Rhinolophus ferrumequinum: one gene and its partner. The main gene of each other region encodes a partner of the protein of the gene in region 2 in a complex. Links are inferred from orthologs where the notes say so. Each region holds a gene or a part of one and is shown on either strand. Other genes may lie near its edges.

What was found.
Region 1: the proteins of EEF1G (region 2) and EEF1B2 are in contact, whole or in part, in a crystal structure (PDB 5DQS), measured with the Homo sapiens proteins. The link is inferred for Rhinolophus ferrumequinum from reciprocal best matches to the Homo sapiens genes EEF1G and EEF1B2. Residues at the interface, in NP_001395.1 of Homo sapiens: Leu146, Lys147, Thr148, Arg149, Thr150, Phe151, Glu155, Arg156, Pro185, Asn186, Arg189, Leu192, Thr193, Asn196, Gln197, Pro198; in NP_001032752.1 of Homo sapiens: Ala20, Asp21, Lys22, Ser23, Tyr24, Tyr28, Val29, Cys50, His51, Arg54, Asn57, His58, Ser61, Tyr62, Glu65.

Annotation. Positions count from the first base shown.
Region 1 is NC_046291.1:26,177,874-26,193,858, forward strand, and holds EEF1B2 (elongation factor 1-beta), read right to left. Parts: upstream 7,523-15,985; 5' UTR 7,502-7,522; intron 7,286-7,501; 5' UTR 7,218-7,285; coding exon 7,138-7,217; intron 6,693-7,137; coding exon 6,570-6,692; intron 5,970-6,569; coding exon 5,843-5,969; intron 5,750-5,842; exon of another isoform or gene 5,671-5,749; intron 5,591-5,670; coding exon 5,524-5,590; intron 5,385-5,523; exon of another isoform or gene 5,251-5,384; intron 5,156-5,250; coding exon 5,030-5,155; intron 4,919-5,029; coding exon 4,764-4,918; 3' UTR 4,719-4,763; downstream 1-4,718. Other genes in the region: NDUFS1 (NADH-ubiquinone oxidoreductase 75 kDa subunit, mitochondrial), read left to right, coding at 11,722-11,782, 12,299-12,390, 14,416-14,523, 15,202-15,278, 15,872-15,953. UniProt on the Homo sapiens protein: Catalytic subunit of the guanine nucleotide exchange factor (GEF) (eEF1B subcomplex) of the eukaryotic elongation factor 1 complex (eEF1).
Region 2 is NC_046294.1:8,193,435-8,209,684, reverse strand, and holds the start of EEF1G (elongation factor 1-gamma), read right to left. Parts: upstream 7,758-16,250; 5' UTR 7,615-7,757; coding exon 7,603-7,614; intron 6,538-7,602; coding exon 6,379-6,537; intron 5,694-6,378; coding exon 5,630-5,693; intron 5,476-5,629; coding exon 5,333-5,475; intron 4,800-5,332; coding exon 4,656-4,799; intron 3,477-4,655; coding exon 3,347-3,476; intron 2,964-3,346; coding exon 2,759-2,963; intron 1-2,758. Other genes in the region: TUT1 (speckle targeted PIP5K1A-regulated poly(A) polymerase), read right to left, coding at 8,814-9,979, 10,386-10,478, 10,661-10,771, 10,914-11,023, 11,618-12,081, 13,135-13,235, 13,418-13,733. UniProt on the Homo sapiens protein: Probably plays a role in anchoring the complex to other cellular components.

The DNA of each region.
Region 1 (15,985 bases), on a different chromosome or scaffold from region 2:
ATCCATAGTTCTTCACTATTCTTCCATACGGACGGATGGTAGTTCTTTAGGGGATGAGTATTCGGAAGTCTATGGAAACTTTCCTTTGATTTTACTTTCCTGAAAGCTATTCAGGTCAATGACATTCCAAACAACACTCTCATTTGGCACATTTCCTGAACACAACTAATATCATCATAGAGAGAGTATGTCATGAGTGAATGTCTGTTTCTCAGTCTCAAATTTCCATTTTAAGTTTACCCTTATGTGATATTATCTGCTCACTCTCCCTAACTGAAACTATGAAGCCAGGGTTACACTGATGAAATAGGACTAAATTCAGGGATGAAGAACTTTCCCCATTCTATTACCAACACATCATCTGGCCCACGAACACCTGGGTTTGAGTTCCTCCTATCTCACTAGGTGAACACTCGGGCATGTCATCTTTCAGGGTTGCCTCATCTAAAAATGGTGATAACAGTGTCTGCCTTATCTCCTAGACTTACAATGGAGTTTAAATTAGACAATGTATGTGAGGTATGTATTTTTTTTATTTACTTTTTTTATCCTAAGGGCAATAATTGCCATTGCCAAATTATATTTGTTTGGGAAAAAAATTATACATATGTTCCGAAACACTAATACAACTTTTTGTATTTTTGTCTTTGTTTATAAGCTTATCTTTTGATAGTAGTCAATGAAAACATCAAGCATTGTTCAATGTTGCTACAGTTTCCATTATTTTTTAAAGTGATTATATTAAGCTTATAAAATATTCATTGAGTGTATATGCCATAATTTAGTCATTCCCATTTATGTTAGGATTATAAATCGTTTTATTTACCTGCTTCCAACCACACCGTCTCCAGATCAGAGCTCTGCCTTTATCTTGTCATTCTCTGGCTTGGAAACCATCAAGGCTGGCTCCATACTGCCCTCACAGAACAAGCCAGCCTATAAATTCACCCTGGCCCCATCCTACAAAATCACAGACACTGCAGAATCCAGCCAAACTGGTTGAATTGCCTCCCAAATGTCTATTCTCATTCTTGCCTTTATCATTCTGCCTTTAACACCCTCCTGGAACATTCTCTCTCTGGAACATTTTTTTTTTAAACAAACTGATCAAGGTCCATCCAGCTTAAGCCCCGATTTCTCTCAAAAATGTTTCTTCAATTCTAGCCTTCCCGACCCGCTGAACATTTGGATTACTTGCTCAATCACAAAATGACTCATACTTCACAGTTTTGTGTGTTTGAACCACCTCCCTATAGTAATTTTCATAACTCTATTTTTATAGCATCTAACATAGTGATACAAAATGAATCATTTTGAATTCCCACACTGTGCTCTGCCCTTTGCTGGGGATGCTGAATATGAAAAATAAAACAAGGTTTCAGTAATTGTAATCATTTAGGGGGCCTGCAAAAGGAGGTGGCTTCTTAATTTGTTTTCCACTCCAAAGCCAGAAATGGGGGGAAAAAATGTCTTTCTCTATGTATACCTATGCCTTCCTAGTCTGCTGGCTCAAAAGCAGTTCATTCAGTATACTGGCTCACACGCAGATATGAGTACTGCTCATAATAGCAAAAAAATTGAAAGCAACCTAAAGATCCAATAGCCTGGTTAAATAAGATATGAGACAATGGGGTATGTAACTGCTAAAAGAGAAAGTTTTTTTTAATGTACTGATATGGAACCTCCAAGATATAGATCATCTTCAAGATATCCAAGTCCATTTCTATGAACAAAATGCAAGGTGCCCAGTTTGTGTTGCATGCTGCAGTTAGTCTGTGCACATGCTTAGACTAGCTCTGAAAAGACCTAAGAATCTGATGATATTGGTTGCTTTTATGGAGGTGAACAAGAGGTCTGGGGGACAGGAGAAGATTTCGCTGTATAACCTCTTGAATTTTGAACTATGTTAATATCTATTTTTTAAAATATAAAATTAAGATACCATTAAATCTATTTTTTATTCAAGGCCGTGGAGTCAAGATTTTTAAAGTCATGTTTCATCATTTATCTTTTTAAGATTTATAAGACAGTTGTGGTTTGAACTGACTATTCCAGTATTTCAACTCTTTTAAGTAAATTTTTAATCATTACTTTGTCATTAATATTTGTTAATAGTTAACATTTTGGTCAAATGGTTTAGTATGCAGTCCCTTTAACATGTCAATGATTGTGAATTATTTTGGGCTACTATTCACACTAGTTACTTCTTTTTCCTTAGCAGCATTTCCAGAATCCACAGGCTCTCTGGTTCTCCAGAAAATGAAGTGCTGCCCTCTGCTGGCTTTTATGATGACAACCTGAAAATTTCTCCAGTGATTTTTTTTTTTAATGGGGTCTGTTGGACTGAATTGTTTAGCGAGGATGATTTTATTCATCAGTACATACATACCGGATTAAATAATTTTTCTTTATAATTTAAGCAATATCCCACATTCAAGGTAGTCACATATAAAGAAAATCAGATTGAGAGAGAAAAAAAAAGAACAGTCTGGTTCTGCTAGGAAAATTTTGACCTCAAATCATTTAACCTCTGGTCTACAGACTACAAAATAAGACCTTTAGAGGTCAGCAATTTCCAGGCTTTTATAAAAACTGTTAAAAAAAATCAAATGTTACATGTATATCCCAAATTAATATGCAACTGTTAACAGGACTTATCACTTAACATACTGCCTTCACTTGAGTACATTTACCTGTAGCACTACCTCGGTATTGAAATCCTCCTACCGTCTTCGCGATAGGTTCAATCAGATTTCCTAAAGTGTACAATGTCTCACCTACGTCCACCCACCTCTACACCCAAGTTAGGCTTGTGAACCACACAGCCTGGGAGTCAATTACCTCTGTAATCTTCTTTTCAGGACACAATGCTACTCAAAACACATTCCTAATGTTCTCCTTTAACAGCCTACATACAGTAAGGCATTATTTTAACATTTGCAGACTTTAATTCCTTTTATCTCCAAATATTGGGTTTATCCAGCAAATACTGTCATTGATATTATTCAGTATGTGCTTGGCATCATCCTAAGCACTGTATTGACTTGTTTTTTCTTTTTTTTCATGAAATCTAGAGAAGTGAAGGGGTCCAGAATATGCTACTATGGCATACAAATTATTTTGAGCAGAAGGCATTTGAGTTCCAGAATTTTCTTACCTGCATAAAAGCTGCCTCCTAAAGGAACTCAAAATAACTCAATTGTCATAAATCCCCTCCCCAGGAGCAATCAGAGGTTGATTCTTAATCTTTTATCACTGGAAATTAAGTCTCCACATCACACACTCCTAAATAGACATTATCACAAAAGTATTATCACCTATCGTTTCTCCTAAAGGACCATTCACTCTTTCCAAAAAGCCATTTCGTTTTCCTCTAAGTGCCCTGTTGTCCTCCCCTTCCATTATTAAGGTAGTACGTACTCCCCAAAATCTAACCTCATCTTAGTCACATTTTTCTGTGAACTCTCCTACGTAAATGATTAAATGTGACTTTTCTATTGCTAATCTCGTCCATTTAATTTGCACTCCCCAAGTACAGAATCTAACAGGGTAGAGGAAAAGTTTTCCTCTGCAACAGACATAAATGGAAAACTCTAGACTGGGAAAATAAAATATAGAAAAAGGACAAGAAACAGGTTATCTTTTTACAGAGAGAAATTCAAGTTATAAGTTAACTCAAAATACTTGATTTATAAGTATATGTAAGTATTCACAGATTATGGGAAACAGGTTATTTCTCCCTTCCCTACACAGAGGCACAATGCTGGAAAGAAAGCCTTCAGCCTTTAAGACAATTGCAGTGACAAGCTCACTCCCAGGACAGCTGGACACTGAAATGGGATGGGATGAATCTCTGCAAAGGTAAATACAGAGGGTGCCAAAAAGAATGTATACATTTTAAGGAAAAAACTGCATAAAAGTTGTAATACTCAATATATACCGATAACAAAAGATGAATCCAAGTCACATTTGACTTCTGCAATTACAAGAGGTGCTCAAAGAGGTACTCATGATTCTTTACGGTACTCCAACATTCCCACTGAAGAAAATCAGTTCACTGTTACTTCCTTGCAAAGCCCAAGGTCTGAACCATTATAAACCTGTAGGGCTAATTTCTTCATCCAAAATCTGCCCAAGTTTAGCTCCTTGATTTAAAAACAAGGCAAATATGAAAATTTAACATATTGTGGTAAAAGTGGTATCATCATACATTCCTGAGGAATGCGTACAAGAATTATACCAAAGTCCATTTCTATTCATTTATAAAATCTACTTGAGATCTATAGTTTTTGTTAAGTTTTCCCTTTTTTTTGGCTGTGTAACAAGAATGCTGACCCAAATTTATATTACGAATTACGTATTCACTGAATTTCTCAAAATCAAAGGAATATAGTTGACCCTTGAACATAGGTCTGAACTGTGTGGGTCCACTTATACGCAGGTTTTTAAAAATGTATAGCTGGCCCTCTGTATCCTCAGGTTTTGCATCTGTGGATGTAGAGGGCTCGATGCACGCATTGTTTCATGCCATTTTACATAAGGAACTTGAGCATCCATGGAGTACTAGGACCCCTCTCCTGTGGATACCTAGACTTATTTTTGGGAAATCAGTTAAGTGTGGATTTCTGACTATGTGGGAGGGTTGAGCCCCCTTATCCCCCATGTTGTTCAAGGGCCAGCTGTACCACCTTCCCATTAAAAGACTGAAGAGCCAAGGGTTGTCGTTCAAGTTTTTATTTAAGGGTAATGATCCGTGATGGATTTTAGATCTTGTTGAAAGCAGCCACGTCCATGGACTGCACATAGTCCTCAAAAGCAGTGATCTGCTCCTCCAGCATGTCTGTTCCAACTTTATCGTCTTCTACTACACACTGTATTTGAAGTTTTTTAATTCCATACCCCACAGGAACTAGTTTAGCTGAGAAGAACATTAAGAAAAATGTTAGTTAGAAAAATCCTATTGATTGGCAAAGGTTGCAACTATGCAAATTCCAGATGCCAATTTCAAAAAAGCAAAGACTGAACTCACAAGAGCCCCAGACCAAGCCGTCTGCTTGAATGCTCCTGACGCACTCCTCTAATTTTGCCATATCTGTCTCGTCATCCCAAGGTTTGACATCTAATAAGATGGAAGACTTGGCAACAAGTGCAGGTTCTAAAAAAGTACAAGTCACAGCATTATTCAAATACTCAATATTAATTTGTTTCAAAATGGATTATCTCCTTAGCCACACGAAATTATGGGATACATCTTGTTTGTCACACACATGCCCACTTTCTGTTTTGCTAAGAAAGAGGTGTTTAGTTGTGTAACAGTTTCTTTCCCACAGAGGAATGCCACAACTGCCACCATTAAAAACAGCTGCAGACCAGTAGCTGTGGAAGTTATAAGAACAACTTTTATAGGTTTTGAAATCATGACCCAGTCAGTGAACGTGAAGAAGTCACTTCGGGGATCATTCTTTGAAAAAGATTTACTCACATTATGAAATGAAAATAAACACAAATCATAAAAAGACGTACTTTTGGCTTTCTTTGACTCATACTGTGCAAGGCGCTCTTCTCTTAGCCTCTTCGCTTCTTCGCTTTCCTATAAAGACACAATTTAATACATTTCACAAAGCTGGTTGCTCCTCAGCTTAAAGATCATAGGGTCATCACAACAAAGACCAGCTTTATCAGAAAAAAGCAAATCCATCACGAGCTCAGCCGAAAGATGGTGATTTGATTTTACTCATCATGTAACCAGTGAGAATATTTACAGGTAGGAAATAAAGCCAGGATTCAACTCCAGGTAATCTGACTCTAGTTGGTGCCCTAGCACAATACGCTTATTACATACCTCCTCATCATCAGATCCAAAGAGATCAATGTCATCATCGTCTTTATTATCTGTAGCTCCACTTCCTGTGGTGTCTTCCACATTAGCGGGACCATACTTGCCCAAAGCTTTCTTCACTCCAGGCAGGCTTGAAAGAAAGTTTAAATTTAACTATTAGGCTGGTACAGTGTCCTTTTTCAGACAATGTGAGAACTTATTTTCATCACTATTTATCAGCAGACCCCCTTTAACACTCCCAGATAAGCACTTTTATGTTTTCACTCCTTACCCCAGAAATAGTAGTAGTATGTGACACTGTATTCAATACTCACTATGATTTACTCTTTCAGAATGAATATTTGAGATCTCATTAAGTATGCTCAATTCCATTCTTAGTGAACTGCAGTCCACTCCCCAAACTTCCACCCTTGTTGGCAGTTTCAGAAGAATGGCCAAGAACTGAATGACTGAGCCACCCTCTCACCCCAGAGGTGGGCCCCCCAGGTCAGGAACAGGCACATTGGCAGGGCAGGGTGGGGAAAGGCTGAATTGCTGTTGTCCATGTTCTACCTGTTCTGTGAAAAAATGGAGGACTTCAGTCTCTTGGCCTTCTAAAGTCAGACAGAAATTTATCTCCCAGTATCCCAACAAAGCTCATGCCGCCTGGGTCTAATTCTCTCATGGGAAAGCCCTGACTTAAAGCTTAGACAGCATTCTATTCTTCAGATAACTACAAAGGTAGTTTTACCTGGCCTTTTCCTTTTCAAAAGACTTGATGTGATTATACCAACGCAGGGCATGATATAAGTTGGCAGGTGGTGGGCCGGAGACTGCTTCAAACACTGCCACGTCTGCTTGGGATGGCACATACCTGCAATTGATACCCAAAAAAAAAAAAAAGTACACGCGCCTTTAAAAAACCACAACACACCATCCAATAAGTAACAAAAGCTACGTCAAATTACTTAGTGAGATCTCACCCATTTGTTACCGGGCTACCTAGGCTGCTTTAGTTTTGTTTTAAGATCAGGGACCATCTGTTCTAGCTGAGAAATGCCTGTTCCTTAGTAGACCTCAAAGATTGCCATCTCTAACGTAGATACACAGGATTACGTTCATTAACTGAGTAAAGACCAGGAAGAACCTGGTTCAATTAAGTAATGAGCAAGAAAGCACATTTTTGCTCCTTTTCACTTCGCGGCCCCCTCCACTAGGAGGGGCCTGGAGCCCGGCTTCCTCTCTCCAGCGGCGGCGGAGGCCGCGCCACGTGGTATCGCCGGCACCCCGCCGACCCCAGCCCGACACTGCGCGCTCACCCCTCGATGTAGCTCTTGTCCGCCAGGTAGTCGTTGAGCACCTGGAGTCCGGCAGGGCTTTTCAGGTCTCCAAAACCCATGACGTCGGCTGACCCTGAAGCTGGGCGGCAGCGGGTGAAATAGAAGCTCAAGCGGTGGACGCCGAGCACTGAGGGGAAAAAAAAGGCCGCAAAACGCCGGAAAATTCCTTATATAGAGACGGAGGCGTTTCCCTCTGTCGCACCCGGCCGAAGGTTAAAGGTCAAAGTACATCAATCTCCTTCCTCAACATAAAAATCGGGTCTCTGAATTAAACGGGCCCACAAATTATCCCTAGGCTTTTCTCTGTGTTTAAAAAAACAATAATAAAAGGGGCATTTCTTACAGAAGTACCTCCACGGCTTCCGAAAATTACCGGAACCGCCCCTTGAAGATCCGGAGATGACCGAAGTAGATCGGCCTTCGCCTCCCGGACACTTCCGGCGGAACTGCTGGTCCAGGTCGTCCCTTCTCCACGAATCTCCGCCTCCTCCCGGCTGCTACGCCCTCAGCCCCGCCTTCTGTGGAACTGACGGAAATTGCCGAACTCAATCGGGGGAGGAAATGGTCGAATCCGAGGTTACTAGTCCCTCCTGGCTTTCCGTTCACCAGGCCGGGGTGACGGAGTGAGCCGAGGCCGCCATATTGAGTAAGAGTCCCGGCTTCTAAGGGGGTCGGTGTGGTGCTGACTGTTCTGCACAGCAGCCTCGGCGGCTCCAGGGAGAAGGTGAGGTTGTGTTTGGGTGAAAAGGCTGAGGTTCTTTGGCCACAGCAGTTTATTTCTTGACAAGAGTGTTTACTTTTGCCCAGGAGACTCATTCTCCTCTTGTCCTTGACTGGGCGCCGCTTCCCACCCGGCTTGCCCAGGAACCCCCGAGAACCGGCCGGTGAGGCCTGTTAGCCATGGTTTCTGGTCTGCTGGAGCAGACAGGAGGAGGAAGCCCTGAGGAGCGCTGGCCCCAGTGCGGGCTTGTGGGTGACCTTCCCTCTGCAAAGGAAATGCAGGACATTCCCGTTTCTGGAGAGGAGGCCGTTTTGTTCCTTGGGAGACGACCTATGTCAAGTGACTTAGGCCCAAAGACTATTTCCCCCCAAATTAGCGCATACCCGGCACAGTGCATCATTGTTTGGCTGCTATTGCCTTAGCAACCGTCCACGCCTCTGATTGGTGTTTTTGTTTCTTTGTTTTGTCCATTGACAGCGTTGCGTAGCACTTTTTATTCCTTTCACTGGTGGGGAAACAGAAGGAAAAGACATTTTAAAATGTAGCCTAAGGTCGCACTACGAATAACAAAGCTACGCCTAAAAGTTCTTGGGATCTAGTGCATGTACAGTATTGTAACGTGCATCAGACACAACTCTCCTCAAAAGTGTACTGAGGGTATATAAAATGTAACGTGAACTGTTGGCATGAATAAACGAGGTTGGTTTTTTTTTTTAATTGCGGAATGTCCTTTTCCCCCACCAAATTGTGTGTGCACCCTTAAGCAGGGTACTATTAGGAGGCTGCCAGAGGACCTGCACTGTTTTAATCTCAGGAAAGTAGAAGTTAGGTTATTTTCGAACATTGGAGATAGAATTCATTTCACAGATAGTTATTGAACGTCTCCTCTGAGCTAGAACAGAGTCCATGAAGAAGAATTAAATGGGTGATGGGACCGGGGAGTAGTTAGGAAATTTTAGGTAGGCTAGTGAAGCAAAGTCTCCCCGAGCCAAAATTGGAAGGATGAGGAGGAGCCAGAAAGATGTGAGGGAGGAGCATTTCAGTCTGAGGCCACACCTGGTGGAAAGAAGGGAGAGGCTGTGAGAATAGTGTGGAAGCCAGAGACCTGCTAGGAGACCAGTGTGACAGTTCAGGCAAGAGATGATGGTGCCTTGGAAGTGAGTGCCTTGGCGGGACAGAAGGGTGCAGGGTACATGTGGAGGAGGTGGAGTGATACTGTCCCTGTACCACAAAGTGTGGTTCCCACATGGTGGCTTAGTATGTGTGAAGCACATACCATCAGAGTTTTGCAAATATGTGTTTCTTAACGTGGGGGCTACGCAGTATTTCTTTAATGCTGGATTTGCTTTTTTAGGAGAACCACTTTGAGTAGTGTACACAAACAAAACTTTATTTTAACCATAAACATACCTTCCATGAATTTCTTCACAGTCCAAAGAACAGAACCTCTGACTTAATTAAGAGTTTACATTTTGCCCCGATTTTTACACTGAGGAATATTGATGGGTATCCCAAATCTATTCACGTCAACTTTGGAATTTCGATCTTGCCTGGTACTGTCAAATATGGCAAACCTTGATCAGTGGGCAAATTCCTAACTTCTGCTGTTCAACTATTTTTCTAGATCTTTCTCTCTGATTCCATACATTCTAGAATATTCAGTGGATTTGTAATAAACTTCCAAGGTAAAGAAATTTCGTGCTCATTGTGTTCATCTTATTGAACAAACCATATGCTCCAAAAAATGCCCACAAATTCAGCTACTAAAACTCCTTTGAAGATCTTTGCCGGTGGTTCCATAGTACCCGCCTTCCTGAGTCCCGTTCGTGCGGGGCTGCGCCTGATGATGGATTTTCAACAGATAGCCTAGTTCTGGTTGATTTCCTAACTAAAGTGGGCACTACTTTAAATTGTATTGCGACGAATAATATTATTGACGTTTTTACGTTGTATGAAATATTGCATGATTTTGAATCTGTCATTAATTCAGTAAATTCAGGTTGACTTTTATATCAATAAATTTTAATAGGACTGATGTGACTCATCCTGGAAATTGGTGATAAGACTGTTTGATGATTATTTTCCCAAAGGCATATGTGGTGCTAGGTCTTCAGAAAAGGGAAATGACCAAAGTGCATTAGTCCTTGTCAAGGAGCTTACAGTTTAGTAGGTACTAAGATTGATTACTAACAGTTTACCAGGTGGAGTAATGAAGATATATACACAGTGTGTGCAGGTAGTAATGAGAAGGAGCACAAAGGAAGAGCATCTTAAAGCTGATCTTAAGTGGCTAATGCTGCCCAAATTGAGTTCAGCTTCAACTGACATTTATTAAGCTCCTACTAATAACAACACATAGCCTAGGAAGTATTGCTTTCTTCCTGCTTTATAGATAAAGAAGCAGAAACTGTTATTTACTAAAAATCACTCACTAGGAGGTGACAGACCTGATGTCTGCAAATTCAATATCACAAATTCAAAATTAATGAATTTTATGAATTATTGAAATCTGAATTCATAAAATACACATCATTTATAATAGGTATATGAAACTTTATGCTTAAAACATGTATATGTATTATTTTCCCCTCTTACCTTTGAAATTCTTTATGTTGATACATTCTGATCACATAACTTTGCATTTTTAAAAGTTCCAAATGCATTTTTAAAAGTTCCAAAAATTATAATTTAGATCTTAGCCCATATGATCAAATGAATGGACAAAAAACTGAAAGTTTAGATAACTTTTCTTTCTGTTTGCTTATGTATATATCTTTAATCGGTGTTGTTTATATACTCCACTCCCATGTTTTTCATTGATTATTCAGCAAACCTTTTAGAGCAGGGTTTCTCAACTTCCAGCACCGTTGACACTTTTGATAATTCTTTATTATGGGGGACTGGCCTATGCATTGTAGGATGTTTAGCAGCACCCAGGCCTCTGCCCACTAGACACTAGTAGCTTTCCTCCAGTTGTAACAAGAAGTATGTCCAGAAATTGGCAAATGTTTCCAAGAAAGCAAAATTGTCCCTGGTTGAGAACCACTATTTTAGAGCTTACTGTGTGCCAGCCTTGGGTGTAGGCACTGAAGATAGATTCAAGAAGTTCATAATACAGTGGGAGTAAAACAGGCATATAAACAGGTAGTTGCAAATGTGTAAGATAAATGTAACTACTCAGCACTGAAAATGACACTCCAGGGTTGGGGCTTGTGAGAGAGCTCAGAATATCTCAGGAGCATTTAGTAGATAACTGTTCAAAACAGAATGTTAGAAGGCATTGGTAAGAAATGAAGGCAGAGAGGTAGGCTTTATTTTACATCTGTTAATGATAAGCTAACTTATTTTTGAAATTTATTGTACTATATAGTAGTGTTTTATGTTTTATGTTTGATCATTTGTTGATAGTTAAAAAAACTGCCATTTATGTAGAATTAGAAGGCCCAAATTTACCGTATTTTGCTGTGTAATGTGCTCCCATGTATATGTGCTCCCACGTTTTTGGCTCAAATTTTCAGGGAAATAGAATTAGTACTACCCATGTATAATGCGCATCCTTATTTTCCCTCACAAATTGGGCAAAAAAGTGCACATTATACACGGCAAAATACGGTACACAATAGCTGCTCCTTCTTAGCTCCTTGACATTGTACAAGTCACTGATCTCCCTGAGACTGAGTATTTCTTCTGTAGGATTTGAGGGAAAATATCAGGACTTGTAGAATGTTCAATGGAATGATGTATGTGGAGTACTTTTAAAACGATGAAATATACCAAAAAGTTTGTAAATATGGTTTTCTTCCTACAATAATATAACTCTTCTTTGTTTTATTCTTAGCAATATGTTAAGGATACCTGTAAGAAGGGCCTTAGTAGGCCTTTCTAAGTCTCCAAAAGGATGTGGTGAGTAGTTTTTAAATTTACATTTGTGGGTACTATATCTTTGTAAATTCATAGGTCTATGGAAGATTTCTTGAAAGACTCTAAACTCTTAATTTGTTTTCAATAAAATAGAAACAAATGACCCAAGTCAAATGGAATAATTTTCAAAATACAACTTTACCTTAACCAGTTATAGAAATTATCATGGAATAGAAAGTAATGGGAACTGCCCATCTATTTTTGCCAAAATAGAAAAAGACTACTTTTGAAAAGTGGTCTTCCCATGAACACATTTTCAGTGGTATTAAGTTTCAACTTAAACTCCTATTAAAAGTAGACTGCTACATTCTGTTTGGTATTCAGGATTGAAAAAGCTTTTTTCTAATTCAATATTTTAACAATTTGAGTCGAAGGAAGTAGAGGGAAATGGTATAAAATGAGGAAAATTTTTAGGCTTATAAGTTAATCCATTATCCTCTGCTGTAGTAAATTCAACTCTGTTAATTTATTTTTCACCTCAATATTTTTGATGCTCAGTTCGAACAACTGCCACAGCAGCAAGCAACTTGATTGAAGTATTTGTTGATGGTCAATCTGTCATGGTGGAACCGGGAACTACCGTCCTCCAAGTAGGCATACATTCTAATTCTTTATTTCTGTATATATTCTGCTATTGAAAGAATACCAGTTTATTTCCTTTATACTGTTTACTTCTAAAATTTTCAAGATTCCTTAATAAATGCTCATAAAAGAACTATAGTAGTAAAAGTATATGAAAATAAGTTTGACTTGAAATCTTCGCATTTTGAAGTTAGCTGTCATTTATCTGTTTCTGACTTTCTTAGTGAAATATGGCAATTCTTTTGTTTCACTTCTGCTTTCCAAACATAACTCATTAAGAAATTAGAAGTTACCTAAAATAAATTATTAGTTACTGTATGTAAGTTTGGGAGAAAGTAACCTTTGTTTGTTGTGAGCCTGTTTGATGCTTTTCACTTTTATGTAATCTTTCTATTTTCAGTAATATTTCTAGGAATATATCCTACAAAGCAGGTGAATGAAGGGTAGTGTGTTCTTGAGTTTATGCCCTAAATTTTTAATTTATCCAAATTCCTCCAGAACTAACAAAGTTGGTCATGAGGAAGTGATGCTTCATACCATCTGCCAGTTATCACAGAGCTAAATGCTCTTTATTCATTTTAGCCTCCATTTCTATACTATCTGCCAGGCACAGACCTGTAAACAATAAATATATGATAAAAGTGTATTCAAAGTACAGTGCAGAATATTTTGGCAGGTATAGAAGGTGGTAGAAAGAGAAGTTAGGGACGTCTCATGTGATGCCTGAGATTTTAAAGGATCAATAGATGTTTATAAGTAGACAAGGAAGCTTCAAATAGTTTGGTATTGATGGAACATAAGGTATGTAGAAGATGATACAACAGAAAAGTTATTCTGGAAGGTGAGGACCAATCATGCAAGAAGATATATGCCATACTAAAGAGCTTGTAGTTTGATCCATTAAGAGTTTTCGTGGCTGTTAGCAGTATGACAGTGACAGCAGGGCGATGGTTTGGAGAATAACAAGACTGGAATGAGAGATAAGGAAAGAGTATCTTGCATCAGTGGAGCAGGAAAGGAAGAGGCCTAAAATAGATGGTGGCTGTGGGAATGAAATTGAGGGTAGATTCAAAGGAGAGTGAGATGTAGATAGGCTTTTAGGAATGATGAAGGGCAGGCGGATTTTTGTAGTTTCTGGCCTTGTTAGCTTATTTGGGGGATATATACGGTAGTAGGGGACAGAAATAGGTTGAATTTTAACTATGGAACATACACGAGCAAATGCCTATTTAAGTCTAAACCTTGGAGAAGTGGAGGACTATCTGGGTGCAGATGAAGGTTTAGATGTAATATGAAATATGAGCTAGTATGAAAGCTGGGACAATATCTGTCTACTATATCCACTGCATCTAGCATACAGGAAGACTCGATACATTTTTGCTAGGTAGTTAAAACATTGGACATTGATGAGATTGCTTTAGAGTGAGGGCTAAGGATGAAAGAACTAACTAGAGGAAATTCGAATACGTTTATAGGCTCAGAGAAGGAGGAGTAGTAATTGGTAGAGCAAGACCAATAGTCCCCCTTACTAGGCAGATGGGAACTGGGAGGAGCCACAGTGGGAGTATGAATCCTGGGTGGGTGTATGGAGCCAAAGATAGAACCAGATCATAGTCCGCTAGACAGTATGAAATGGAGTCTAATCCGAAAGAGGAGAACTAGACAAAGAAGTCCAGGTGTGAAAGCATTGGCATGGAGTTTGAAGGGAGAATCTTTGTGAACAGTGGTGCAGAGTGGAAATGGGAGTCAAGCTTTTAGCATACCTGAGGATACTTTATCCAGTTTCTTCCACATGAGGTGTAGGCATGCTGAGGATCCTTAAAGAGGAAGCTTCAAAGCAGATGGGTTGGAATCAAGAGCAAAGGAGGAAACTCTCTTCAGGGATGAAGTAAGAATGAAGATACAGATATTTATAAATAGGATTAATAAGATAGGTAGGGGGTGGCCTCATTTTGTGTGTGTGTATGTTTTAGACAAGACAAGGATGAGGTCAGTTTATTCTAATGGCAAAAGTTTTCTCCTTTGTCTTCTAGGCTTGTGAGAAGGTTGGCATGCAGATCCCTCGATTCTGTTACCATGAAAGGTTGTCTGTTGCTGGAAACTGCAGGATGTGCCTTGTTGAAATTGAGAAAGCTCCTAAGGTACTTGATACCTAAAATTCCACACCATGCTGTAGAAGGTAGAAAACTTGAAATCTTGCAGCAAACTTTATTTAGAATCAATATAATTATAGTGGAGAAACTAGCCCTGTTTATTTCTATCTATAAGTTTATTTTTTTGTGTGGTTGATTCTTGTCATTTCAAAGCTGGAAACACATTGATGAAAGTGCTTTGTAAACACAAGGGCTGTATAATTGTAACAGATTTAAAAATTAAAGGTGACTTCTTACAGCTGTTCATATTTCCAAATGGCTGCATGACACACAGCTAGGATGTGGGGTTGGCCAGCAGCCCATTGGAAGTGCTCATGCTGGGCCATTTTCACTAGAGGAGAGGGTTGCAGGGAAGAAGTTTAATTTTATTTTGGCTTATACCATTTTAATTGAGTAGTGCCTACTAATCAAAACACAGTTATTTGATGTTCTGTTGCAGAGCCTCATAAAAAATTAAGAAGTAGGATGTCTTACTTATTTCTAAGAGAAATGTAAAGTGTCAGATTATCATATTATGAATATGAAAACTATAAAAATTCTGCCTTCAAGAATATTCCTTTCTTTGCTTGTTTTCAAATGTATAATTTAATGTTTTTATAAATCAGGTTAATTATAATTACAAACAAATACAAATTCTTAAACAGATTTTTTTCATTGAAATTCCAGGTTGTAGCTGCTTGTGCTATGCCAGTAATGAAAGGTTGGAATATCCTGACAAACTCAGAGAAATCTAAGAAAGCCAGGTACTGTATTGTTACTTGGCTTAGCAACTTCTCTTAGTGCAGAAAATTGCACATGTCAGTATTTAGACCTTCCTATAAATGATAAATTCAGTATCAAACTCTGATGAAGTTGGCCTGTTTGGCTTCTAGAAGCAGTAGAGGAGATGAAGTCAGTCAGGTGTGCATGGTTTTGAGCCTAGTGTGGGATCCACATTTAAAACTCTTGTTTAGCAACTTGCTCAGTTTGTGATAAACAGTGAATCTGGGGCTTATTGAACTGAGATTATTGCAGTGATACATTACTGTACTGTCCTAGCACTGAATGTTTGTTTTTGTTTTTCATTAATGAGTATTTCTGAGGACCATTCAGCAACTTTCGGTAATGTTGTATTATTAAAAGTCACAGTTTTCTAGGTTCTCTAATGATGTTTTATTCTAGGCTCCTATAAGCATTTTTTTAGATTATGTGTTCAGAAGTACTCAGATGATAATTACGTTGGAATTTCTGATAATAAATGTAAAATTAATACTGAATATATGATAACATACATCTGTGAAGGTTGTTTAAATAGCGTACATGTAAACCATTTTATATGTTACACTTCTCCACACAGAGAAGGTGTGATGGAGTTCTTATTAGCAAATCACCCGCTGGACTGTCCTATTTGTGACCAGGGAGGTGAATGTGATCTGCAGGTAAGTAGTCTAATTTCGTAAATCTTTTTGGT
Region 2 (16,250 bases):
GCTGAAGGGTATAATCCGGGCCTAGGGCACTCCCATCCTCCCTACCCCCACCCCAAGAATGCACCGGGAGGGTGGGTTCCAAAGGGGACCTGAGGGAGACCTGCCCCAGGAAAGGCATGGCGAACTGCTGCCCCCTGGTGGAGACAGACGAGGACTCTTTTTTTTTTTTTTTGGGCTGGCTAGCCCCTCCCAGGGCTCTTTTCTATGAGTCACACTCAGTTCCTGACTCACCCCTCTTCCCCCCTCACACAGCCCTCTTCCGGTGACACACACTATCATGACTGCAATGTAATCGGGGAACGTTGTCAAAGGACCTCCACCCCAAAGCTCACACCCATGTCCTTTAGTCACTCTGCCCAGAAACAAGTTCACTTACTGAAAAACCGTTGGGTTCACGTTACCTTTAGAGCAATCTGGCACACTGAGCCAAGAAAGCCAGCATCAAGAGGAGGTCCCCCTCACCCCCAGCAGGGATTGTTTTTTTCTTTCTTTACAGAAACACATGCTGCCTTAAGACAATCACCCGCAATGCTAGCAAACAAGACAAGTAATTCATATCTTCATGAATTCCCCACTGGTGATTTTTCAAAGATGATACAGGTAGTTTGTGTGCCTTACACAATTTGGTCATTTAATACTGTGTGACATGCTATGAGAATTCTTTTTGCAGATGCTTTAATGGCTATAAATCCAAAGTGCCATAAATCTATTAAACCCCCTTACTGAATGTTTAAGTTGGCTCAATTATTCATTAGTACTACAAAGGCCCCGAGGACCACTTACCTACACTTCACTCATCCTTACAACGCTACAGTTAGGCTGTTACCCTCCCTCACTTTACAGAAAAGGTTAAGTGGTGTGACCTGCCCAAGTGAACACGGGCTCTGAACAGCTCCTGAAACAAGTTAGCTGGAAGGACCAAAATTCACTCTGGACAAATGACCGTCCTGGTCTTTGAAGGCATTACCTTTATGACATTAAAAACCCTGGGGAAATCATCTTAGCAGCCCAGTAGAGCACCACGGTAATGCAACAAATAGGTATTAATAAACATCCTCAAAAGGCTTTAATAAATGCCAAGTTTGTTCAAGATTTTAAGTTTTACTGCTGGATTTACTTTCTGCCCAGAGCATAGACCCAATATACGAGTATGTGAAAATCTCTAGCTAATCATTAACACTGTCTATGTTACAACAGCATAGGTAATTTAGGTTAGTTATCACAGCTTATTTACACACACCAAAAATCTTGCTCACTCTTGACCTGCCCCTGTGTTAGGTTCAAGGTAAATCACTTCAGTTCAGAAAGACATACATCTTTTAAGAGCAGCCTTCTTGATCTTGAGGAAAGTGCCTGGGAGAAACAGCTCTCAGCTATACTCCAAGTTGTCCCCCAAAGGCGGAAACAGCAGTAACATTCCATTAATATGTTTGTAGTTTACAACTTGAAGCACAACTACTACACCCATCACCAGTGCACATTCTTTAAACTGGTTTATCCCACACCAAAACCATAACAAAACGCGAGGTCAAATCCTAGCAGACTAGTGAAAGGATGGAAGAGTGGTTAAGAAAAGTAGAGAAAAGGGAACAAAGTATAAAGTGACCACAGAAAAGACATCTCTCATATTGCTTAAAATTCTAATAAAATGACTTGGGGCAGTGACTGAGGAAAAGTTTGATGGCAAAGTATGGAGAGACCGTTTAATGCCATGACCACTGCTGGACCCTTGAGCTAAATCCAGTTAGATCCGGGCCAGAACAGAGATTGCTTCTCCAAGCCCATCTGATGGACCTTTTATGGCCACAGCGCGCTGGTTTGTGCTGGTTCCTGCCCCAGGCAGGAATGTACAGCATTTTCCTCTTATCTGGGGTGGGTCATGCCCTGTACCCCTATCCATCTTGTACTGTCCTATATAAAATCCCTTAGCACCTGCCACGTGGCTTGGAGGACACCCATGTCATCTGCAGCAAGACTCGCCTGGTATGCAAGTTCCCTTAATAAACTCGGTGTAATCATGGAACTGTTGGCCTCCTTCTAAGGTGTCTTAGCCCTAGGAAATTTTACATGACATGGAGAACTGGGAAAGTACCAGGTGTCCCACTTTTTTCACACCAAAAATCTCCCTTTTACTGTACTTTCTTCCAAGAACCCCTACAATTACTGAAAGGAGGATACAGACAACTACCCCACCCCATCTATTTCCTTCTCCTTGAGGGGTTTAACTCCCCCAGTTGGGAAACACCAACCAGACAGGCACTCTGTAGCCATGGTCACCACCCTTTCTCTTAGTGAGCAATGGTGATAGTCTGATTCATCAGAACAGCAAAAAGATAATCAAATGACACTGACATGATGTCCTCTGATTCAGCAAAGCCAGCCCACACAGAGCAGACACAGGCTCTCTGCACCGTCTCCCCGCACCTCACTGTATTAGTTCTGAGGGATCGCAAATTTTAACGAGCAGGCTAGACACCAATGTTCCTCCACACCCAATTCTGTGCCTATCTGCTTTTTTTTAGCTAGAAGGGGAGTTCCAATCTTCCCCATACTAGATGCATTTGGAACTTCCTTTCTACTTTCAAAACTTACCCAATTCTTGATAAATTCAGGAAGTTGCTTATTTCCAACTAAAACATACCTTTAATTTTTTACGGACGACCCAAAATTCTGGGCCCTGGCTGTGAGGGGGATCACGTAGGCAAGAACAGGCCTTTCTTGGGTCCCATGCCCCCTACCCTCCAGTAGCCTTCCTTACCTCTTGGGCAGGTGAGCAAAGGGGTCTTTGGCCTTCGGCTCAGCAGCCAGCGCCTGCTCACATTCGTCCATCTCCTCCTCAGGAGCGGGAGCAGCTGCCTTTTTCTCCTCTTTCCGCTCAGCCTGGGGTTTCTGCTTCTCCTCCCGAGAACCTTTCTCCTTCCGTGGGGTGTCCTTTTTAGGCTGGCTCTCTGCAAATTTTTTAGCTGGTGCAAAGGAAGGGAGACAAGTCAATGTTCTGCCTCCTTCCACATCCCTCCAAAAGCAGGCAGCAAGCAGCGTACTAGAAGAAAACTGCTGGGTACGGGGACAGCTACGGGATCTAGGCTCTCCGTTGTCACCAGCTCACTGAACATCCTAGAGCAAGAACACAACCCTCACACCACGTACAACTGCATCGTAACCTTATTAACACAAACGAGTTGAGAGTACGTGCATACAACCAGGTTCACAAAATATTTGTTACTACGTGATACCCTACATTCTGTGGGCTCACATAACCCAAAAGCCAGACAGGAAACCCAGAGTTCAGATTGAGCAAACCAGCCCCAAACACTGGCCGCATGGTCCTCTGCCTCCTCTGACTTACCATCAAACTGGGCCATCTTCTCACAGAGTTTCACCTCCCCCAAGACAGCCCGGAACTGGCGCTGGTTAATGCAGGTGAGGAACCAGCGGTTGGTATTGGGGAAGGCCTGGCGGAAAGAAGGCTCCAGGACCTGCCAGGATGGAAACAAAGCGCGTAGAGAGAAAGATCCTGAGGAGTTTCAAGCCAGAGACCAACACACCCTTGCTTCTTTCTACCCTGAGGCGCTCCTTCCTCCCCGACCCCCAGCAGCTCTCTAGGGCACCATCTTACCCTGAACGGCTGTTTCCCATTTATCTTCCTAATCCCTAGTCCAGTCCAATTTAAAGAATACTTGGTCCCATCCTCCATTTACTACAAAACTACTTAGCAGAATATTTATATGGTGCCTGACTCCTTTCACAAAGCCACTTCACACCTACAGTTTCCAATCTTTTAAATTTCACATGTTGATAAAATTAAAAAAGGGGAGAGGGGTTGGGACCAACTGAGGGCTATCAATTACTCATTGTCAAATAAACAATTAAAACAATCTACATTAACAACTTCAGAAAGTAAAGAATATTCAACAGCAAAAAGTTTTTTTCAGAATAATGGACAGTTCTTTAACAGCTTCATGAAAAACTCATTTACCACTTTTCAGTTTGCCAAGATCAGAGGCAAAATAATCTTGTGGTGGAGAGGACAGCAGCCAGTTTTGGAGTTCAAATTCTAGTCCCCCACTGCATGCCCTTGGGTAGGTGACACTTCTCCTCACCCACTCAACAGGCTAAGATGACCCGTCAGGCCCTTGGCGTAGGGTCTGGCACAGCAGGGGCTTTTTCCTTGCTATCCCCACGTCACTACTCCGGAGCAGCAGCATCTCATCAATCAGTGGTTTAGGAGGCAGCAACATGTCATCTTTGACCCAATAACCTCAGCAGGGATTACCAGTGTCCTGGTTTTACAGTTTACAGAGGGAAAAAATAGGACTAAAGGAATTCACGTACAGCCCAACCCCCATCTACAACTAGTAAGCAACAAGGCCAAGAACAGAACCTACTTGTGCCTCCAAAAGCTCTCAATGCCAAATTTACCTGTCCTCATGATCGGGCTTCCCAAGAAACGTGGGGACAAACTGAATCTCTTAGCCCTCCCCAAACAAACTAAAGGCAACAGAACATCACCACACTTCTCAGAAGGAAAGCAGTCCTGGGATTCCTAGACGGTCACCTCAGACCGCCTCACGTCCTGGTCCTCACAGCAGGACAGTCACCTGGAAGCCTTGGCACCTCAGTTCTCATCCCACCAACCTGATTCTTTATTAACTCACCTGTTTATAGAGCCACAGCAGGGTGCAGACAACTGTGATATCAGCCAGCGTCACACGTTCGCCCACCAGAAAAGTCCTCGTCTTCAAGTGAGCGTCCAGCAGCCCCAGAATTCGCCTCACCTCCTCCTTCGCATTCTCTGTGGCCTATTGATTTAAAATGACCAACTGTATCAGTGAGGACCAAACCCTTTCCCTCACCCCAAGAACAGAACTCAGGTAGCCATTTCATTTAACCCTTTCAAAGGAGTCAGATTCTAGGATTCTTCCAAACGTATCACAAATGAAGCTCCCACAAATGAAGTCACATAATAACTTCTTCTTGGTGCAGTGCTCCCTCATTCTCCACTGTAATGATCGTAGCCATGTGTCTTTGTATTTTAAAAGGAACCTTAGAGGTCATCTGGTCTAACCACTCCCCTACCATTTGGCATAACCTTCCTACAGCAGAGGTCTCTCCTCTGACCACCATTGACAGATACCAGCCCCACGGGGTCCGACAAAGACTCAGACACCATCAACAGCCCAGTTCTCCAAACTCATACCCCAAAGATTAGGTCCTTTATTTCCCACATATTCTTGGCATCTCCTTTTCTCAACCTATTTTATTCCTTACTCCCTGACACTCTGCAGCTGATATCATCCCCACTCCTGGTTTCTCCCCAAGTTCCAAGGCTTACCTGCTTGTTGTGGTGCATGATGCCCAAGGTGGGGAACACCCAGGTACTGGCTGGGGGCACTATGTCGCTATCAGCAAAGCTCACCCACTGTACCACCTGCGCTGCTGCCTCTGGAGTACGTCCCCGAAGCTCTTCATTGCTCACTGCAGAGGCAGAACACAAAGGTCAGAGCCTGGGGATCGTGCTAACAACAATCCAATCCCTAAAAAGCCCTCCCCTTGTCCATTCCAGTTCATCCTCATCCTCTCGTTCACCCCTCACTTCCAGAACCTCCATGCCCTATCTACTGCAAATTACCGTAGTAGGCAATGGCATTGCTCTCAAACACACAGAATCCATCGTCGCCTTCAAATGCTGGAACCTGGGGACAAAGCAGTCAAAAGATCAATGAAACTCACAGGAATTTCTCACTAGCCAATCCCAGGAAGTGAACTGTTTTGGATAAAAACGTTTTTATATAAGGCTGATGATCCTTTCTAACGAAACTCCTGATACTATCTGAAACTCAGGAACCAAAAATATTTGAATTAACTTGGTATCCCTTACAATCTGAAGTCACATAATAAACCCAAAAGATTTAGATATTATTGGATATTTGGATAAAAGCCTTCCATCAAACAAGCAAAAGGTCAGAAGCCAAGTCTTATATCTACATCTATAATACTCAAAATATTATGGTGCTCCCCACACTGCACTTGAGCTTCTACTCTCAGCCTGGTTATTTCCGTAAGACCCGCGGGGCAAGGATTCTGTTCATAGTTGATACTTGACATATTTGCACTGAAATCAGTCAAAACTCATTCTCTCTCCCACAAATACAAAGTATGCCTGTAATTTTTTTAAAATGTCATTGAATATCTCTTTAGTATCTTCACTAATGGGAATCTGCAATTACCTCAAAAAAAAATTTTTTTTTTTAAATCACTATAATGTGGAAAAAAATGGAAAGTTCCCTTTTAAAGATGGAGGCCATCTCAAAGTGATAGAATCTTATAGCCACTTGGGTTCTCAGGACCAAAGACCCCTCCTCCCACTCCCCTACTCACCTTGCCAGCTGGAAATTTACGGAGAAATTCAGGGGTGCGGTTGGTTTGACCAAAGTGGAAGTGGGGTGGTGCGGAGAGCACGCGGACCTGAGCCCCGCTGTACTGAGCGGCAATGAGGGCTTTGAAGGCCCTCCAGTTTTCAGGGTATGTGTACAGCGTCTGTGCAAGAAAGGGGGGGGAATGTCAGTGTGAGTAGAAGGGTCCCAAGTCCTACATGTCACCTCTGGGATGACTTTCCTGAACAATCCCAATCTCTTCAACTCACTCTTTCACTCCGGCTGGTGAACCAAGTTCTTCAGAATCTGCCATGTGTAATCAGAGTCCTCCAAAACACGGAGAACAGAACTACACACCAACTGCTAAATAAAGCTTGTTGACAGATTTGACCTTCCCTAAGGACATCTGTAGAAGCATTCTCTTCCCCTCAAATAATATCTCCAAGAAATCCAGAACTTCCAGCTCCCTCAGACTCCAGCTGCGACATACACCCCTGCCTTTCCAGAGCCCTTGTTTCATTCATTGATGGTTACCCAGTGCCTGTCTATTGCTGAGCGGCTCACCGCTTCACAAGCATCGTCCTTGTCTCTAAGACACACACACACGCACCAAGACATTTCCAAGTTCCCCTCCGAAGAGACACAGGGACACAGGGACGAATGGCATCTTCTCTCCCTAAAAAACCTTTCTTCCCTTGTCACGCATTTCATTCCTCCGGTCCTGTCCGGCAGTGAGTTCCCTGGTGTTGCCTACCTGGCCGGCGGGGTCCAACTGGTCTGACTCTACAGTCCCGAGAGACCTCTCCCTCCCAAACCTCCCTGATGGACGGCCCTTAGACCGTGGCCAGCCGTACCTGCCCACAAAGACCCTCCTCTTCACCGTCTCTGCTGTTGCCCCACAAAACGGTCGCAAAAGTTCTGTCAACCTGCCCGGATCCCATGTCTCAAGGTGGCAATGAACCTGAACCCCTTTCTCTGGCCCCAGACGGCCAGGATCCGACATCTCTTTTCTCCTATAACCCAGACCCTTCCACCTCTTTGGCCTCCGACAGTCCCAGCCTCAGTTCCCCTCCGGGGCCTGGAAGCCCTGCTCTCCAACAGTAAGATCTCTAGACCCCGAATCAGTTCCCCACTCGGCTCCAGAACTCCTCTGACGCCGGCTGGTCCCACTCGGGGAGAGGATGGCGTCGGATATAGTGACCTGTATGGCCTGAGCCGGCAAACTTACCCCAGCCGCCATGGTGATTCCGCAGAGAAAGGGGGTGGGGCTCTCAGTGCTGCCGCAAAGTAAGCCGTGAGGGAAAGAAGGGAGGGGGGCGGGAGAGCGCCGTGGAGAAATAGCAGCCGGAAAGCGAGGACGGCACAGAAGGCATACGCACGACAGTTCGGGGTACCACGGCAGCTGAATTGGAAAGGGGGTGGGGCCTGCGGACTGGCGCGGAAAACGCTCGCGCCTGCGCAGTGGCTCACGTGACTGGCCCGCCCCTCAGGTATGGCCAATCCGAGTCCCAACGTGTAGAGAGGCGCGGAGAAACTGAGAGAACTAGCTGGACCGCTTCCCCTAGGCAGCTACGTGGCACAGCTGCCATCCCTGCGCCGCGCTGGGTGCCGCAGGCATCCCCCTCCGGCCCGCAGTATAAGTGAGGCCCAAGATGAGAGGCTTGATGGGAGGTCCTGCGAAGCCCCGAACATCGTGACTGTGCGACACGCCACGGTGTGGAGATGGCGGTGTGCCAAATTCCTTTTGACCTGCTCTGGTTTTCTAGATAAGATGAATGTCTAATCGGAGCCTAAGTCTGAAACCCTCTGTTATAATAAATTTAGTTTTTCTCCCATTAAACCACCTTGCATCTCCAGGATGCTGTTATTTCCAGAAGGGCACTAGTCTGTGGGCCTGCAACAGGGGGGAGGCTAAGGGACAACAGCCATATCCCTTCCACCTCCTGTCACTCTGGAGGGATTGACAATTTAAGACAAACTGATACAGGTTGCCATTTACCCATGTTCAGCTTTGAAAATCTTTTACCCAGTTTTAGAAGGGGATGAATTCTGTTAAGTGACGGAATGCGTGAAGAACCCTGAACTCAAATTTCAGGCCCTGTCACCATTCATAAATCTCGGCAGCAAGGTAAAGGAAGAGGCAAACTTGGTTCTTCTCACAGGTACTGTTCAATACCTCTACTCAGCACTCCATCACTCCCGAACTCTCCCAAGTGGGCTCCAGGTGCCAGACACACCGTCCTGGGCACTCCCCGCAAGTTGTGATAAATGGTAAGAAGGAAACAGGCTGAGACCTGTTTTGGAGTGGCCAGAGACGACACCTCTGAGAAGGCTGCATTAAGGTCTGGGGAGGGGAAGTACGAGGCGGAAGGAGCATTGTTACCAGGTGGAAATTAGAGGAAACTGTAGTGTTTATTAAACTAGCAGCTTAATTGCCCTTTAGGGCCCCTGTCTTGACTCTAGAAGATTTCGAAGTGCTTGAGGAAGGAAAACCTGTAAGAAATGATGGAGATCAGGAAACAGGCCTTGGGAATCCTGAAGTGGGGTCACAGTGAGAGTCTGGTCAGCCTGGGAAGCAGACGCCACAAAGGTCAGGAGCGGCTCAGTCTCTGGCCTCTGTTCAGCACTGCTCGGTCCTCTCAGTTCCTGGGTTACCCGAGCCTCAGTCGCCAGCCACTCTACTCCCGTGCCAGCACCACCTCTGCCTCCTTCCTTGGTTTGCTGCTGCAGGCGTCTCCGGGCACGCCGCCGCCCCTGCCACACTCGGTGCCACAAGGCACAGCGCCAGCTCACGGAGGAGAGTGATGCCCCCTTCCCTGTCTCACCCTGGGACCCTTCTCGGGCTGCGTCTGGTCCTTTGGGGCCCTGCTCAGCCAGCGCTGCATGGCCTGACTGCTCCTGTCCTCCAGTGGCAAGGTGCTTTCCAGCCATCAGGGAAGGCTCCCCTGGCTGCCCAGGGCTCTGCATGGCCCAGTCCTCCACTGACTCTCCACTCTCTATAACCATTTCTTCCACCCCATCTTCGCCATGCTCCCCCATACATCCCTGCTGCTCCTCCTGCCTCTCCTCACAGCTTGTTTTCTGTCTGTCTAGTTTCAGTCTTTTGCTTGACCCTCCCTGGGGAGAATCTCCATTTCTACCTCCCTCTGACCGCAGTCTCTTGGTTCCCTGTTCTATATGGCAACCCAATGCTTCTCTGAACACCTGGACCAGGCCAGCAGTGAGCTGGGTAAAGGGAACAGGGGGTAAGGGGATGGGTGTTGCAGACAGCAGAGAACTAGGGGAGCTCGGCTGCAGAAGGGGGAGCAGCCCCCAGTCCCGACCCCGGGAGGAACGGTGCTGGTACTGGAGGCTTCTGCAGTAATTGGCTGCTACTCGGCAGCAGTTCTGTAACCGCCCGGCTACCCGGCTGGTTACATTGGCTGCCACATTGTGACTCAGGTCAAAGGGGTCCTGGAGATTCATGGGGCCGAGGCGCAGACCCTCCCAGAGATTAGAGGGCAGGCCCCCTGCCACAGGCAGTGCCCGACCCTCCCGCAGGGAGAGCAGTGAGCCACGAAGATCCCAACAAGAGACGCAGGAGAAGAACTGGGCTAGTAGGGAACCTGGAGGAGAAGACCAGGAAAAGGGGTTACTGAGAGGCCAGAACTGAGACAGACCCTGAACCAGAGCCATTCCCTTAGCAGGACTTTCGTTTTCCCTTCTAAGTGGCTCAGAACAGTGCCAGAAGCCAGGCTCCTCTGATCCCCATAAACATGAGGCCACGCTCTCTTCCTGTGTCCCCAGCAATGTCATTTCCCAGACGCTACTCCTTCCCTTTGCTAGCAGTGTAACCTTGGGTAAGCCACTTAATTACTCTAAGGCATGGTTTCTTCACATGTGAAATGGCAATAACAACACTAGCTGTCCCCCAAGGCTACTATGAGAACCATGCCTGGTACACAATAACTGTGTTACCTCCTGTTGTGATCAACATTATTTATTAGTCCTCTGTGGGCTCCCCAAACTCACTCAGGGGCTCCTGATTGGTGCTGGGCTCCAGTCTCGAGGCATCCCTGGGGAAACTGCAGTCCCAGCCATCAACCTCCACCTGTTCACCCTCACCTGTGAAAGTGAAAAAGGTGAGGGTCAGCCTGGAAGCAGGAAGATTGAGGGAAAGGAGGGTGAGGGATGGAAATGAGGGAGATAGCGGAGATCTCATTCCCAGGGTAACTCAGTGTGAGTAAGACGAAGAAGAGAAGAGATGAAACTAATGAGATAGAGAGGGTGGAGGCCGGCTGCTGTACCTGCTTTCTGGGTGAGTTGGGACACAGTGGGCAACACAGGAGGGTCCCTGGTCTGAAGGAAATAGATCACGAGCAAGGTCAGGGCGTAGTTATTGAGAAGGGGGCCACTCCCTGGGTAAATAATCAATAATTCCAGTTAGATTAGAGGTGCTTCCGATCCCTTCCTTGGCAGTTTTTCTCAATCCTGGTTCCTGTATTTGCCTCCCTTCTTTGCCCGACACCAACTCAGCCCCAGCTCTCTCCTGCCTCTCACCTGCTAGCCCTCGACCCTGAGCCCAGCAGCGGAGGGTGTACACGAGGGGCCGTACTCGCTCATCCAGCTCAGAGCAGAGACTCAGGAAGCGGGAGTTATGCAGGGCCAGCCTGGGACAAAGAGGAGACGAGGACGTTACGGCTCAGGAACGCTCTGAACCGATCACCCCCAGCTCCCAGTCCAGACTGTAACGGCGGCCAGAGAGGGTTTCCTAAGTGTTTGCTGACACAGTGGTCTTGTGAGAGGCTGTACAAAGAACACGACATCCTATATGCCCGTCTCGGACATTCAGAGCGTGTTATTGTTAATAAAAGCCTGCTCAGGCCTTTACTATGCAAAGAAACAAAGACAAGAAGGGAGGGAGAAGGGGAGAAAAGGAGAAAGAGAGGAAAAAAGGAAATGAGAAAGAGGAAGTGGGGCAGAAGGAGAGAAGGAAGAAACCTATTTGTGTTTAACTTAGTATTTCCCAAACTTACTTAACCATGGAACTCTTTTCTAAATCCCTTAAAAACAGTATCCTAAAAAAGATACTTTCCATTGACATGGAAGACAGGCAGGAGATGAGTGGCAGAAAGAGGGATGGGTCCAAACAAGGATAAGCTTGAGGCGTGGCATGTGCAGGAGCTCCCCCACCAGGGCTCCCTCCTCAGCCACCCCAGAACGCTCAGCTTGCCTTCCCCAACCACCCCCCTAAACAACGGTACCGGTTACTGAGGGAGATGTCACCGTGGAGACCTGAAGGCCGATGGCAGAACTTGACCACAGGGCATCGGGCAGAGGGCACAGTTTGGACTCGGTACACTCCAGGGACACAGCCACGAAGGATGGATCCTACCAACTCCAGCATGGCTCCCTGCTCTGTTTTCTCCCCCTTCAGAGCCTCTGCTAGCTCCAGAGCCTTCCCCAGGTCCCCCTCTCCCCGGTCCTCCTGCAGTGGTGAGGCTGGAGGCAGGGACTGGGGAGAAGCAAGGGTCTCAGAGGCCAAAGCTGAGTCCGGAGTGTGGGGCGCCTGGGAGGAGGAAGGGATTTCAAAGTCCAGGGCTTCTGAGTCTTGAGGAGAATCTGGAGGGTGAGAGTCTGGAGGGGAGGCTGGGGTGCAGGCTTGAGGGTCCAGTGGGGATGCAAGGGCTGAGTCCAAGGATGGGGACTCTGGAGCCTTTGGGGCTGGCTGTGGATGGAAAAGAACTGAGTGAATGCCTCTCCTGCTGCCCCCTAACTGGGAACAGTCTCGTCCCCAAGACATACCCATGACCTACTACTTATTATGTGCCAGGCCCTATTCTAAGGGCTTTACACATGTTAACTCATTTAATCCTCACAATATTTTTTTTTCAATTAGAAATACCTTTTTAAAGCCATAAAATAAGCAGTCTGTATTCTATAAAAATGTCATTGTCATGAAAGACAAAAAAAGGTGGAGGAACTATTTTAGATGAAAGAAAACTAAAGAGACAACACAATAGTCTACTGTCAGGGCAGCTGACAAAATTGGAGTACAGACTGGATTAAAGTCTTGCAATGCTTTACACTTCTACCAGTGTAACATTTCCTCGACTTGATAATGGTACTGTGGTAACCGACTAGAATATTACCTTGGTTCTTAGGTAATACACACTGGGATATAAAGGGTAAAGGCGTGACGTATGCAACCTACTCTCAAATGATTCAGGAAATATAAATTGTGTGTGTGTGTGTGTGTGTGTGTGTGTAGAGAGACAGAAAGAGAGAATGATAAAAGAAGTATTATTTTAAAAGTAACCCTTTCTGTGAGGCAGGAGTCATATGGGAACTTTATACTTTCTACTCAATTTTGCTGTGAACCTAAAACTCTAAAAAATAAAATCTTTTTTTTAAAAAAAATAACCCTTTTGTATTCCAAAAGCAGGATCTGTACGTTAGATGTTAGAAAACACATACGCAAAAACATAACCCCTAAATTACATTATTGTATGTCTTGTTATATATATATTTTTTTATCCAAAATAAGATATTATCCATGCCATTCTGAAATCTGGTTTTTTTCCTGTTGCAAATGCCATCTATCTCGTGCCAATTCCTTTCCGTCCTACCTTACACACATCCACATTCACATCTCTCCAATTACAATAACGCTTTCAGGCCGGTCCTATTATCCCCATTTAACAGGTGAGAGGGAAGGTGCTCACCTAGAGTCACATGACCATTCCTACTGACTGTTCCCAGCTGCTCCCTCTTCACTCACCTGGAGCTCTTCCAAGTCACCCAGATCCAGGAAGAGGTCAAGATCACAGCCATGGACGTCAAAGCTGTTTATGGAAGAGCCAAAAGGACGGATCACACAGCCTGGGTGCCGAGCAGAGAATAAAGGTCAGGAGACATTGGGGGGCTAAGGGGTGGAAGAACATAACAGGGCACAAAGATGAAAGAGCAATCAAATAAACACCTCTAGCTGAGGGAGGACTGGGGATGCAGACGGGGCAGGGCAGGACAGGGTGGGCTCAGTCACAGTGAGGAAGGTGGCTCACCGGGAAAGAACTCTGTGAAGACCTCCTGCATCAGGGCCAGCACGAGGCTCCGAAGCTGCCGCTCAGCCTCAGACAGCTCCCTCAGCCCCACCAGCTTCACCATTTGTGCTCCCACATCTGGGGCCTCAGCTAGTGCTGTGGCCAGCTGGTGACTGTCGAGGGCCGCTCCTTTGGGGGATTTGGAGGCTGGGCTCTGGAACTCTTTCTGCTCCCGTGGTCGGACGCGCAGGCGATGTCCTCCCAGGCTGTGCTGAGGCTGTGACAGGACAGCTTCCCGGGCACCCACGTCTCCCATCTCCACGATGGCAAACACTCCCTGGCAAACCACAACGGGCAGAGATGATGGTTTTGCAACCGAGAATCCAAACACATGGTCTGACAGTGGGCGAGAATTCTGAAAGGGGGACTACTGTATAAATTGGGAACATTCGCTTGCTGTTTCTGTAACAACAGGGAACATATTTAGAAAAGCAATTATTTTCCTCACTCGCATCCCACACACACTACTCTCACCCCAGTCGGCCTCCGAAAATCACATTTTACCTATTTTGTTGTCCGCTATTCTTCCCAATGACACGACGTTACTGGTTATACCCATCCCCTAACTTTTCCTGCTTTAGACTCTTTTAAAATTTATTAAGAATCCATGTAATGAACACTGTGCTTGGTGTAAATATAAACACATAAACCCTACCTCAACAAACGTACCACCTAGGAACAACAGCAAAATGATAACCATGCTGCTAAGACAGGGCTGAGGTCAACGATATCCAATGGAATAAACATATATATATATATATATATATATATATATATGCATGTAAGTGTATATATATACATACATATATGTATATATCTTTTTTTTTTTTGAAAGCTAAACTGTTAGCAGGAGTAGGAAAACTATGACTGCTTTAGGGCCAAAACCTACATCTTCTGTATTCTCTTCAGTGGCAAAGCTAGAGCCTCCTCCTGCTTATAAAAAGGTACCTTTTACAGTAATCAAGACAGTGTGATACTAGCATAAAGACAGACATGCTGATGGAGGAAATGTAATTGAGACTCCAGAAATAAACCCATGTGTCTATGGTCACCTGATTGTCAACAAGGGTGCAGAGACCATTTAATGATGAAAGAATAGTCTTCTCAACACATGGTGCTGGGACAAGTGGATAGCCACATGCAAAACACTGATGGTGGACCCCTACCTCACACCATACACAACAATTAACCGGGGGACAGCCTCACCAGCACACAGGCCTGAATCACGGATGGGGAATGACTGATAATGGACATGCAGTTTCTTTGTGGGGTGATGAAAACACTCTAGAAGTAGACAGTAGAAACAGTTGCAGAGCCTTGTTAATACAATAATTGCCCGAGATTTCACTTTCCGAGGTTTCAGTTACCTGCAGTCTGAACATACTAAATGGAAAATTCAAGAAATAAACAATTTATAAGTTTTCAATTTCATGCCATTCTGAGTAGCATGATGAAATCTCATTCTGTGCCACCTGCCTCACTCTGTCCCACCCATGATGTAAATCCTCCCTTTGTCCACACAGCCACACTGTATATGCTACCTTCCTGTTAGTCACTTAGTAACCATCTCAAGTTATCAGACTCGTGGTTATCAGTGCTTGTGTTCAAGTAACCCTTATTCTACTTAATAATGCCATATTGATATAACTTTTATTACAGTATACAGAGGGTACCAAAAAAATGTATACACATTTTTAAAAAGGCAAAAACTGTATTAAAATTACACTGATGGAGTCGGCCTGGTAGCTCAGGCGGTTGGAGCTCCGTGCTCCTAACTCCGAAGGCTGCCGGTTCGATTCCCAAATGGGCCAGTGGGCTCTCAACCACAAGGTTGCCAGTTCGATTCCTCGACTCCCACAAGGGATGGTGGACAGCGCTCCCTGCAACTAAGATTGAACACAGCACCTTGAGCTGAGCTCCCGGATGGCTCAGTTGGTTGGAGCGCGTCCTCTCAACCACAGGTTGCTGGTTCGACTCCCGCAAGGGATGGTGGGCTGCGTCCCTTGCAACTAGCAATGGCAACTGGACCTACAGCTGAGCTGCGCCCTCCACAACTAAGACTGAAATGACAACAACTTGAAGTTGAACGGCACCCTACAGAGCTAAGAATGAAAGGACAACAACTTGACTTGGAAAAAAGTCCTGGAAGTACACACTGTTCCCCAATAAAGTCCTGTTCCCCTTCCCCAATAAAATCTTTTAAAAAAGAAAAAAAATTACACTGATAGTAACCACTTTGAGCACCTCTTGTAATTGCAGAAGTCAAACATGACTTGTATTCATCTTTTGTTATCAGTATATATTATTACAATTTTAATATAGTTTTTTCCTCTCTTAAAATGTTTTTCCTTTCTTAAAACATTTTTTTGGCACCCTCTGTATTATAACTGTTCTATTTTATTATTAATCACTGTTGTTAATCTCTTAATGTGCCTAATTTGTAAATTAAACTTTATCACAGGTATGTATGTCCAGGAAAGACATAGTATAGTTGACCCTTGAGCAATGCGGGTTTTAAATAAGGAGGTCCACTTACACACGGGTTTTTTTCAATTGACCTGCGCAGTACAAATGACCATCGCAGTTCAAACCCATGCTGTTCAAGGGTCAACTGTATATACAGGGTTTGGTACTATCTGCCGTTTCAAGCATCCACTGGGGGTCTTGGAACATTACCCCCACAGATAAGGGGAGAATACTGTACATGAACAACCACTGAATTGTATACTTTAAAAGAGTGAATTTTATGCTGCCTAAGTCATATCTCAAATGAAAATAAAAGCAGGGGGGAGTG